2 separate regions of the Mus musculus genome follow, and region 1 is reported to be linked to region 2. Evidence: microRNA targets listed by miRTarBase, many of them from high-throughput screens and not tested one by one. Region 2 holds a microRNA gene; the other region holds the end of a gene's coding sequence.

Region 1 (5,368 bases), not on the chromosome of region 2:
ATGTGGCCTGCATAGCCTTGCCACCAAACACACAGCCCAACCCGCATTGACTGTCTCCTGGGATGTTGTGGCCAGGGCTTTGGGGCACTGCAGGGAGAACACACAGTCCTACTCTTCTGCCTGTGTCCCACCCCTTGGAGTCCTCAGCTCCCACTGCTGGCATTTTGTGGGCCCCAGCAGCCCAGATCCTCTGTAGGGTTGGTGAAGTTGGCCTGCTTTCTGGGACAAAGTGCAGCAGTTGAGCTGACCCATGGGCAACAGGCTAACTTCCTCACACTTGGTTCTAGGATGTGGAGTCAGGAGGGGAGAGGCTACACAGAGTCACCTGTGCAATGTCATGCTCCACATGCTCCACAGGGGCCACATTCACTGTGAGTCCTGTAGGACAAACAGGAAGGCTGGAGCAGGTCCAGGCAGTGGGGCAACACAGAATGGGGAGCCAGGGGCAATCTTTCCAGTTCAGGGAGCTGAGGCTCAGAGAGGCCAGGCAGGTTCAAGAGCTTGGCTTGGCTGAGAGAGGTAGGATGGCTCAGCAGGATGGAGGCCGCCTGCAAAAGGAGAGCCTGGCCAGGACACAGGGCAGGGGACCATGGAGCTGGTAGAGGCAGAGAGAGAACCAGCCATTGAGCTTTTGAGAGGAGACAGTTGGGTGTGCTGGCTCCCTGAGTCCTTATCTCTGAGGGCCCTCAAAAAGCTATTTTACCATCACCCTTAGAACAGGAGTATCTCTACACCCAGCAGAGGATCTAGCCTCCAGTGTTACCAGTTAAACTTGAGGGTTGGAGCCTGGAGTGGCCAGTGGTATCTGGGGTTTCACTGCTAAAACCAAGAAAAGAGGCTTGGCTATCAGCCACAGCTGGGAATCACAGACCACTGGATGACGAGACAAGCCAATTGCACCGTTAAGAGACTGCACCATGTGTGAGCCCTGTGCAGTTGATGGTGATGCTTGCCCATTCCAGTTGGGCGCCCTTCCATGAGCACCTTTGATAGGCAGTGGTGGAAAGCAGCAGCTGCAGCAGCAGCAGCAGCCTTTGAGTGGATGCTCAGCCCCTTGCTATTTGTGTCTGCATTCCTAGTACCACTCTGCTGCACTGGCTGCCTGGCTGCTGCACCCCAGCGGATTTCCTCATGTCAGCCTACCTGGACACGATAAGCTCGCTCCCCAGTGCTTCTAAGAACCAAGGGGGAAAGCACTCTTCCACCTCAATGCCCTTTGGCCATTTCCTGGAATGCTGACGGCCCCATGCCCATTCTCCTGGATGCCATGTGACTGTGGACCCGGCTCGGATGCTTATATGGAGCTGGGCTGACAAAATACCTTCTGGATCCTGCCATCAGACAATTTGGTACAAGATGAGTACTGTGTCTTCATAAGCCACCTCTGGCTCTGGTGTTCCCATATACTCTCATTGAGTAGGTCGCCTGGCAAGGTCACTGTGGGCTTCTCTCCGTCCATCTCTTTCTGCTTTCATCATTGGGTGGCACCACTCAGACCAGGTGTCATCTACACCCTCCACTTTCCAGAAGGGCAGGGGCCCACCAGGCACCAAAACAGCCAAGCTGAGACCCAAAAGCTACCTTGTAGAAGATGATGTCTAAAAGCCACCTGTCCCCACAGGGTTTGGAAACAATACTAGTCATGAGTAACTGCCACCCCGAAGACATCACAGGAGTCTTGCCAGGCCACTCAGGTCTGCAGAACTATGTGAAAGGCCACCTTGGGTCTTGGCCCTAACACTAAGCATGGCTCTCTGGGCGCTTGGCAGCACCTAAGAAACGGTGATTCACCCAGAGCAAACACCCATTTGCGCCAGACAAGGGGCAGTGAACGCGGGTTCTGTTGATCTTCCATCTGCAAATAAGCAGGAGGGTGAGCTGGCAGTGATGGACCCAGAGCCGCTTCTGATCAGTGGCTGTCGCTGGCCTCCCTGACGCCAGAGGCTCCCACTTTGCTCTTGGCTGTCACTTGCATACACCCTTCCCCTTGGGAATCCCAGGTTGGTGCCAGGGCCAGAGATGCCACCCCACATGGCTGTGGCATCACCCCACTCCTGTTCCCAGAAAACACAGACAACAGTGAGCTGAGATTTTACCAATTTTATTTTCTAGATTTTTTGTCTTTTTTTTTTTCCTGGACCATGCTGGTCACATGTCTGTGCTGGGAAGCGCCATGGTGTGTCAACCAGAAATACAAAAAGCCAACCTGGCCACCAGCCAGAGCCCCTCAAAGCCTTTCATGTCACAGGGCAGATTCCGTGGACCCACCACCAGTCTTTGGCCTTTTGGCCAAAACCTCACCCCATCACCATGGATACAGCGGCCCTCAAGGGTCCTGCCTGGCTGGGATGCCTCAGCTGAGCTGGTGGTGCCCGTTTTGGTTTGGCAGCTTGCTAGGGAACTTGGGGGCCTACAGCACTGCAGCTGGCTTCGCAAAGGCAGAGTCTTTACATTAGCACAATGCTGTAATTAACACAAAACAAGACGGAACACTAGAACCTAACAGATTAAATGATGCACCGGAGACTCAGAGCAAATCCCCCCGGGCCAGCAGCATGGTGGCATGCACAACAGGCCGCTACAAGAAACAATATCGATAACAGAACAATCCAGGTGCCCTGACTGCTGTGATGCTATGTCCCAGATCAAATGAAGGGCCCAGCATGACAGGACGATCGCCATCAGGGTCCCAGGATCCCTGGAGGCAGACCGCCCACCTGCCTGCCAGGCTCGTGCATGGCTAGATGATACATGAGGTATTGTGAACAGGAACCTGTTTTTTTTTTTTTTTTGGAATACAGCGGTAATCACATTAAGCCAAAATAGATCACAATTAAAAAAAAAAGTACAAAAAAGGGCATCTGTAAATACACTCTATGAGGAAATTAAAACTTGAACATGGCAGTCTGACATTGTAAAACAAAACAAAACAAAACTGACCCTCCAATAGCAGCGAAAACAACGTGAAAGATACAAAGCAATGAGAATCTGGTTCTGAACGTCTGGGATCCTGGGAGTCATCGGTAGCAGCGCCATGAGAGGAGCCGTGGCCTGTCCCATGTGGTCCCACCTTCACCTCTTCCCTCACATCCCCTCTTAAGCCTCCCGCTCTCCACCTTCTGCCAAAAAGTCCTAATAGAAAGGCACAGAGCCAGAGGTGTGCAAATTACCTACTGTTGTTAACTTGGGGGCAGCGGCAAGAATGTGCCAGAATCAAACTCTTTTGGAGTCCCCTAATTTTCCTCAGTTTGGATGGCTCTCCAATGGGGCCAATTGGGTTGGGAAAGTCAAGCAGACCAAATCTCTGTCTTTGTGGTTTTTTTTTTTTAAGGACCCCCCCCCCCCCCCCGTTGCCCAATGAAAGACCAATCTCTCAGACATGGCCCTAAACCTTCTCCAGCAGGGCAGAGGTGTGCGTTTGAATCAAGGGAGATCACATTGCTTTGAGTCACACTGGTCATGGGCAGCCTTTCCCATAAATACTCTTCTGTAGCCTTAAGTATAAATTAGACATTTTAGTGTTTAAAAGCCTCCTGTGTGAGACTTAAGAGTTGTCCCCAATCTCCTTGTCCAGGTAATGCCATCATGGTTCCTACTTCCAAACACCAGCTGGCACCAAAGGATCCCTTCAACTTTGCAGGACAGATCCCGGTGGTGCGAGAACAGAGTTCTCTCTTCTTGACCCAACAAAACTTCCCAAGCACCTCATACTACCAGCCCTACAACCTGTTGTACAGCCATCTGAATGCGTGTGTGGACATCCCCATCCATTCCATTAGAACCCCTCCCCCCAACACACACCAGCAACACTGCCTCCAGCTAGCTGACCAAAAGTGCTTTGAAATGGAATGGTTTTGGAACATAGAGAAAGAAAACACAACAAAACAAACCACACACAAAAGCTGTGGGTTTAACCTGATGTGGGCAGGCTGCAGGGCCTTCAGGCAAAAACCAGCATCTCTCTAAACAGAGCTACAAAATAGGAAGGTTACAAAAATAGAATATATTATGTCACTATTTCATCCCTACCGCTGTGTGGCTGGTGCTGTGAACCTGCAGGTTGTTGGGGGGAGAGGGCACATTAAGCTGAGCCCTGGGGAGGGGGGTTGTGCCACACGCCATGAGACCACTAGAGGTCGCACTGACCATCTATAAGGTTAAGAGGTCTGCCCACCCCTGGGATAAAGCACAGGTATCAGGTAACAGGGCTGTAGGCACTGAGCAAGCCAGGGAGTGAGGCTGAGGGCCTAAGCTGTGGCTTTTCAGCAAAGCAGAGTACATTTCTCAACCTAAAAACTCTTCTACTTTAACAATGGTTTGCTGTATTTTTTTTCCTTCCTTTTTAAAGCAATGTTTCTTAAGCTTTTTTTTAAAAACATATAAAAGAATCAAAACTCCTTCTCAAGACTTCCCCTGTGTTAATCCTACTCTTAGAACAGACAAGCACATTAATAGAAAACTAGTTGATTACTGGGGTACAGAATTCTATTTTTGTAGCACCCCCTGGCTCCCTACTCTCAGGGTGATGCAGATTCTATCTCTCTCTCTCTCTCTTTAAGACAGCTTTCAGATATTTTTTTCTCTTTTGCTTAAATCAGATAGAAAGGAGAAAGATTAAGGAAAAACAACCAACAAAGAGAACAAAACTTCCTCTTCTGGTAACAACATGTCCCCAAGGGGGACGTCGTCAGGAGCACCCGGGCTGGCTCCTTCCTCTTTGCGGGTGCCACTACTTGGTGGCTCCCGCCTGCCCGGTGGCCCTCAGATGTCCACATCTCGCACGTCGGTGGGCGTGCAGGCCAGACCAGCCTCTTCCTCCACTTCCCCCTCCTCCTCAGTGGCCTTGGGGTCGACGTTCTGCTGGGCCTGGCGCAGGCTTGACTCCAGAAGGGCTTCAATCTGTTCCTGGCAGGCACGGAGGCAGTCCTGGAGAGGCGGGCGGAGATGGAGGGGGTCCTTGTTTAGCCAGAGGCCGGTGGCCAGGGCCTTGACCTGCGAGGCAGGCTTTGCTAAGAGCAAGGCTTGAGGAAACTCCCCAAGCCACCCCTAAATCCAGTGAGAGCTGCCAGAGACTAGAAAGGTACTGCTACTCTCTAGGTTCCTCCTCCCAGGCTGTACCCTGAACTTCCCCACAAGGAGCGTCTATCTCTCATAACTTTTTGCCTTGGGTGGCCTCTGAGAGAGGACAGCTCCAGCACAGGTAGGGTCTGGAAAGCATTTGCCCAGGAATAAGACTCATGAACTGAAGCCCTGCCTAGGCAGGCTGAAGCTAGGGCACTGTCTATATTCCTGAAGCCAGGAGGATTCCTGGGGAACACCTGGGAAGCCCCCACATTCAAAACTTGTGTATTGTTCCCCCTTTGTTTGA
Region 2 (5,368 bases):
GGCCTGGAGCCTCAGCTCCTCCCCTGGGATAATGAATGTGCACCACCCTGCCCAGCATTTCATGTGGGTTCTGGGACTCAAACCCAGGTCCTCACGCCTCAAGGCTTGCCCTGTTGTGAGCCATCCGCCAAATCTCAGGACTTTGTTTTGGGTTTTGGGTTAGAAACGTAGGCTGCCCTAGAATTTACTATGTAGCCCAAACTGGCTTCACACACCCTTGATGATCCTCCTGCCCAGGCTCTTTAGTGCTAGGATTATAGGAATGAGACACAATGCCCATGAGTATTGAGAGTTTGAGGTTAGCCTGGGCCACACAGCAATACCCTGCTTTAAAACAACAGACAAAGATAACGCAGACTCAGGCCCTTGGTTGGAGATGGGACTGATAGTGACATAAAAACAAACCTACAAGCTCTCTGTGTACACGTGCGCACATGTACAGCATCTGTATAGATAGCTAAACTATAAAGGGCAGGTGATAGCTCCTTTACTTGTAGAAGGGGAAACAACTAAGGACACGTGTAGTTTAACAAACAGAACCGACCAAGGGAAGTGGGAAAGGAGCCGATGACATTGCTGGCACACCCACTATCTGTCAGGCATCTCTCAAGGTCCACACAAACCCATGTTTAATCCTCAATCTATACCCTCTCTCGTATGCTCACCTGAGTTCTAGAATAATAAATCCAACCCGAAAACCTGCCTTCTCTCCTAAGACATCTGCCAGAGGCATTTCTAACTGCGCATGTTCAAACCCCCTCTGCACCCAGTCTAAACATCCTGCCTTATCGCTCAGTAAATCTACTACCCAGTAGCTCAGGCCTGAGACTTGGGAGTCACCACAGGCTAACCCTTTCTTATCCTGTACCCAAGTAACTGGCAAAGCCAGCAGCCTCCACTTCCACATTTACCTCAAGTCTAGTCACCTCTTTCCTTAACCCAGTTCCAGACTGAGACGCCTCCTCAGGAGACCTGAACTGCTGTATGTCCCTCAGGCTCCAACATGTCTCCCCGACCCCCTCAAGCTCTACCTAATCTAAGAGCAGCGGGAGGAGGCTGAAGCAGTCAGCACCCACCGCTGCCTGAAGTCAGCATACAGCAGTCTGTTGGGGAACCCTTGGCGGCAGATCCGGATTCCCTCCAAGACCCCGTTGCAGCGTAGTTGGTGTAACACCAAGAAGGAATCCATGACCCCTGGATGTGGTGGGAGTGGAAGAGGTGGTTAGAAATGCACGGCCATGCCTTTAGGTCCCTACCCAGGCCTTACTTAGAGACTGAGCAAACCCTCCAAGGTGAGAGCCTAAGATGCCTCCAGTTCCCCCATCCTGGCCAGCCCGGGGACACCACCTGGAGTCTTGTTCTCGTTGGGGACGATACAGCGGACGAAATGGGGCTGTGTGGCCCGCAGGTTGGTCATGAGCTTGTTGAGGTTCTCCTGGGAATGGGGAGAGCAGGGAGAGAGGCACAGGAGGAGCAGGGAGAGGCACAGGAGGGTCAGAGAACCAGAATTGCATGCCGCAGTGGTTAGGGACCAGAGGGGACTGGGCAGAGGAGCCCAAATGCTCCTTATGACACCTGCCCCACCCCAAACACCACCTAAGTCTTCACCGCCCCCCCACCCCCAGGGCTCCGTCCCATGGCTCCCCCTTCCCCCAGCCCTACCCAGGCAGCATGGGGGCAGGCAGCAGCACAGACTTGCTGTGATGTTCACATGCAGAGGAGCTAAACATCACTGCAAGTCTTAACAGCTGCCCACCCAAGACACAGGGACGGCAGGGAGCAAGGAGGGCGTGGCAGCTTGCAGGGGGCGTGGCAGCCTGTAGGGGGCGTGGCAGCCTGTAGGGGGCGTGGCAGTCTTAGGGGGCGGGGCAGCCTGCAGAAAGCCAGGGCCGCTGGGACCCCAGTCTGGACCTCACCTTGTGAAGCTGAGACACGGTCTGAAATGATGCTGCTTTCTTGCGCTTCTCTTTCACCCCAGACTTGGGGGGCTCGGCTAGGAGAGACAATGAGAATTGATCATGCCAGGGAACGTGGCTCTGTGGACCCCCAGGAATGGTCCCTCAGTACTCACTGGAGCAAGAACCTGCATAGTTCTCATAGAGGGTGGCCAAGAGCCTATTCTGTGACTTTTGGAAGATGGGGACCACCGTCTCATTGAGGGGATCCTTGTTTTTCTCCAGCCAGCCCACGATGCTATAAGGAACCTACAAAGAAAAATATTGACCCAGGTGGCGACCCTGAGGAGGGAGAGAGGACAGTGGTTGAGTACAGGGCTCCAGCGAGCACCTACCACGCCTGCGTAGTGGACCACCTCGAAGTGAGCCTGGTACTTGCGTTTCTTGTCTGGGCGAGGCTGCTGGAAATTAGGTGACTTCCCAGAATGATTGTCATAGAGCTTGGCCCTGAAGCTTGCGTCTGAAGCCTTGGGGAACATGCACTCCTCCTCCAGGATGGACAGGATGCCCAGAGGCTGGGAACAGAAAGCAAGATTGAAGGGCCAGGCTAGACCATGCTGGCTGGGACCTTGGACGTTTGTTCTCCAGCCTAACTCCCTCTGGGAGCTGTTTCAGGTCCACAAGCCAGCCGTGTACAGGAGAAGTCAGGCACGTGTGTATACCCAGGAACCCACTTTCTGGGAGAGAAGAGTTTGTGGCTTGACTTCGGATCCCCTTCCCCGCCTATGTGTGTAGAACAGGCTGGCATCTCTGTGCCCTATTAACTAACATCCATGGCTCACTCGGCTTAAGTTTTTTTTTTTTTTTCCTTTAAGACATTTGAATCTGCATTTTGGTATCTACACTCCTTAGAAATAGGGAACCCAATATTTTACTAAATCTATGTTTCTTTTTTAAAATAAGTGTTTGTTTATTTGTATGCATATGTATGTGCCGGCATGAGTTTGTGTGCCCATGGAGGCCAGAGGAAATTGAATACCTTGAAACTCAGGTTACATGCAGCTGTGGCTTGCCTGTTGTGGGTGCTAGGAACTGACCAGACCTTCCTCAAGAGCAGCAAGTGCTCTTAACTCCTACGCCATCTTTCCAGCCCCAAACTTCACTTCTCAACTGAACGGGAATAGTGATTCACTTCAATGCATATTTAATAGCCACATCAATCACAACCACACATTGATAGGCAGCTTATCCAGGCCTGCACGCACGCACGCACAACTTCCGGCAAGGTCCCCACCCTAGGTCTGACCTTCTCGATGAGGTCGATACAAGGCTGCAGGTCAAGGCCGAAGTCGATGAAGACCCAGTCGATGCCCTCCCGCTTGTACTCCTCCTGCTCCAGCACGAACATGTGCTGGTTGAAGAACTGCTGCAGCTTCTCGTTGGTGAAGTTGATGCACAGCTGCTCGAAGCTGTTAAACTATGGGTGGCAGAGCCCCAATCAGCAGGCCCCTGATGGATGCAGACTGGAGGGCGTGGGGAGCACAGCTGTGGTCCCCCACACCCACCCATCAGCCTCTGCCGTGGTTGAGAGCTCTTCTCACCTCAAAAATCTCAAAACCAGCGATGTCCAGGACCCCGATAAAGAACTGTCGAGGGAGCTTTGTGTCCAGGGTCTGATTGATTCGAGAAACCAGCCATCGGAACAACCGGTCGTAGGTAGCCTTGGCCAGGGCCCCCACGGCAAATACCACCTGTGGATACAGGGCGGCAGGGTCGGGTGGGACCCGGCAAGAGAGGGATCCCGCCTCAGCTGTCCCTGAGCGAGCCTTTGGCGCCTTCTCACCTGCTCCACACTCTGGCCCTTGGTAACATACTCATTTCCCACACGAACCCGGGGATGCAGGAGACCTTTGAGGAGGTCCCCGCTGCTGACACCCATCAAGTAGGCAGCCTTGTCCGCACCTGGCAGGGAACATGGCTTGGATAAGGGCAACAACGTGGGCACTTGGGGGTCAGGGGTCTGTTGTCACATCTTGGGGGTTTAAAGAGGAAGGTTAAGAGGAATCGGGGCCTGAAGATTGTCACCTTTAGGAGGGTCTAGAATTCAGACAGGAACAGAGAACACTGAGATGAAAGATTATTGGCAAGGGTCAAGGAGAATGTCTGGGAAAGTTTCCAGGGTAAAGGCCAGGTCAGACTGGGGTTAGAGGTCCTCACTCTCAGTGCCGTCTGCCTCAGCCTGTTCCTCTCTCTGCTTCTGTTTGAACTTCATGTTGCCAAAGTGCAGGAGAGCACCCACGATCTTATAGCAGGCACACTTCTCATCCACACTGAAGCCCAGGATATCCATTGCATGCTGATGTAGAAGGAACCAAGCAGGCTCAGAGAAATATGAGTCCTTGAGAGTCTCGCCGAGGACCACCCCACTCATACTAATTCCCCGGTCTCGACCCAGTGCATATACTCACACACACCCAACCCATGGGAATCCAGCCTGGTGCCCCCTCCCACCCCCACGCCCACCCCGTTTCCCCCACAGAGCATCGTACATCAGTGGCGATAAGTTCCTCGCCGTCATCCATGTTGTCCACAGTGGTGACCCCCTGGCTGCAGAAGTGGTAGTCGTAGGGATTCATGGACAGGAGCAGCATGTCTATGGACAGGGAGGCCCAGGAGGAGTCAGGAGGAAGCCTCAGGCTGCCTTCCCTCTCCTGCCCACCAGGGGGCCCCCGAGGACAGGGGTCTCTCAGAGAGAGTCTTGAGCCTATAAGGGCTTCTCTGTAACCTGAGCTTCTGGTCTCTGTAATCCCTACACAAGGCTTTTAGTTTATTTCATCATTTATTTTTATTTATTCTTTTGAGACAGGTTCTGTGTAGCCCACGCTGGTCGTAATTCACAATCCTCTGATCTCAGCTCCTGAGTCCTGGAATTACAGGCATGACCTGCTGGCTGCTTCTTTTTTACAGTTGTGTGAGTGTGGGAGAGACAGTGTGAGTGAGAGTGTATGAGTGTGTGAGAGTATATGTGCGAGTGTGTGAGAGTATGTGTGTGAGTGTGTAAGGGTATATGTATGAGTGTGCACATGTGTGCGCATGTGTGCTTGTGCATAATTGGGATGGAACTCAGGATTTTGTGCCTCCTGGATAAGTGTTCTCTATCACTGAGTTGTACTTAGCTCTTTTCAAATTTTTATTTTATTTATTAGCATATTTATTTTATTTTGTTTAGACAGGTCTCTCTACATAGCCCTGGCTGGGCTGGGACTATGTAGACCAGGCTAGCTTCACACTGCTTCTGCTTCTTGGGTACATAGACTAAAGTTGCATACCACCAAGCCCCGCCCCTTTTCATTTTTAAAGTTTATATGCATGTCTGGGCATGAGTCCCTTTCTTTACAGTTCTCTGGGGGAATGGCCCTCACTCGGTCCATAAGACTCCCTCATCATTTGACCACTGCTCAGTCATCTTTCTA

The links. The annotated mature microRNA mmu-miR-499-5p reads UUAAGACUUGCAGUGAUGUUU and lies in region 2 at 1,725-1,745, opposite strand. An mRNA with a match to its seed (bases 2 to 7 or 8) in the 3' UTR can be bound and repressed. Matches are read on the target gene's strand: a 7mer-m8 pairs with bases 2 to 8, a 7mer-A1 pairs with bases 2 to 7 and ends in A, and an 8mer does both.
Region 1: miRTarBase lists Ccnd1 as a target of mmu-miR-499-5p. Seed matches in the 3' UTR shown: 7mer-A1 at 4,555-4,561.

What each region holds. Positions count from the first base shown.
Region 1 is chr7:144,927,846-144,933,213 of GRCm38, forward strand. It overlaps Ccnd1 (cyclin D1), which reads right to left. Exons shown (of 5, transcript NM_007631.3): 5 at 2,086-4,926. The coding sequence ends at 4,762. It also overlaps a transcript of LTO1 not described here. Among named protein-coding and RNA genes, the nearest start is that of Ccnd1, 9.3 kb to the right of the region's middle.
Region 2 is chr2:155,619,270-155,624,637 of GRCm38, reverse strand. It overlaps Mir499 (microRNA 499), which reads right to left and starts at 1,758; the gene lies at 1,680-1,758. Myh7b (myosin, heavy chain 7B, cardiac muscle, beta) reads right to left here. Exons shown (of 42, transcript NM_001085378.2): 12 at 4,445-4,548; 13 at 4,113-4,251; 14 at 3,739-3,857; 15 at 3,497-3,646; 16 at 3,202-3,372; 17 at 2,291-2,470; 18 at 2,072-2,204; 19 at 1,917-1,993; 20 at 1,348-1,435; 21 at 1,077-1,194.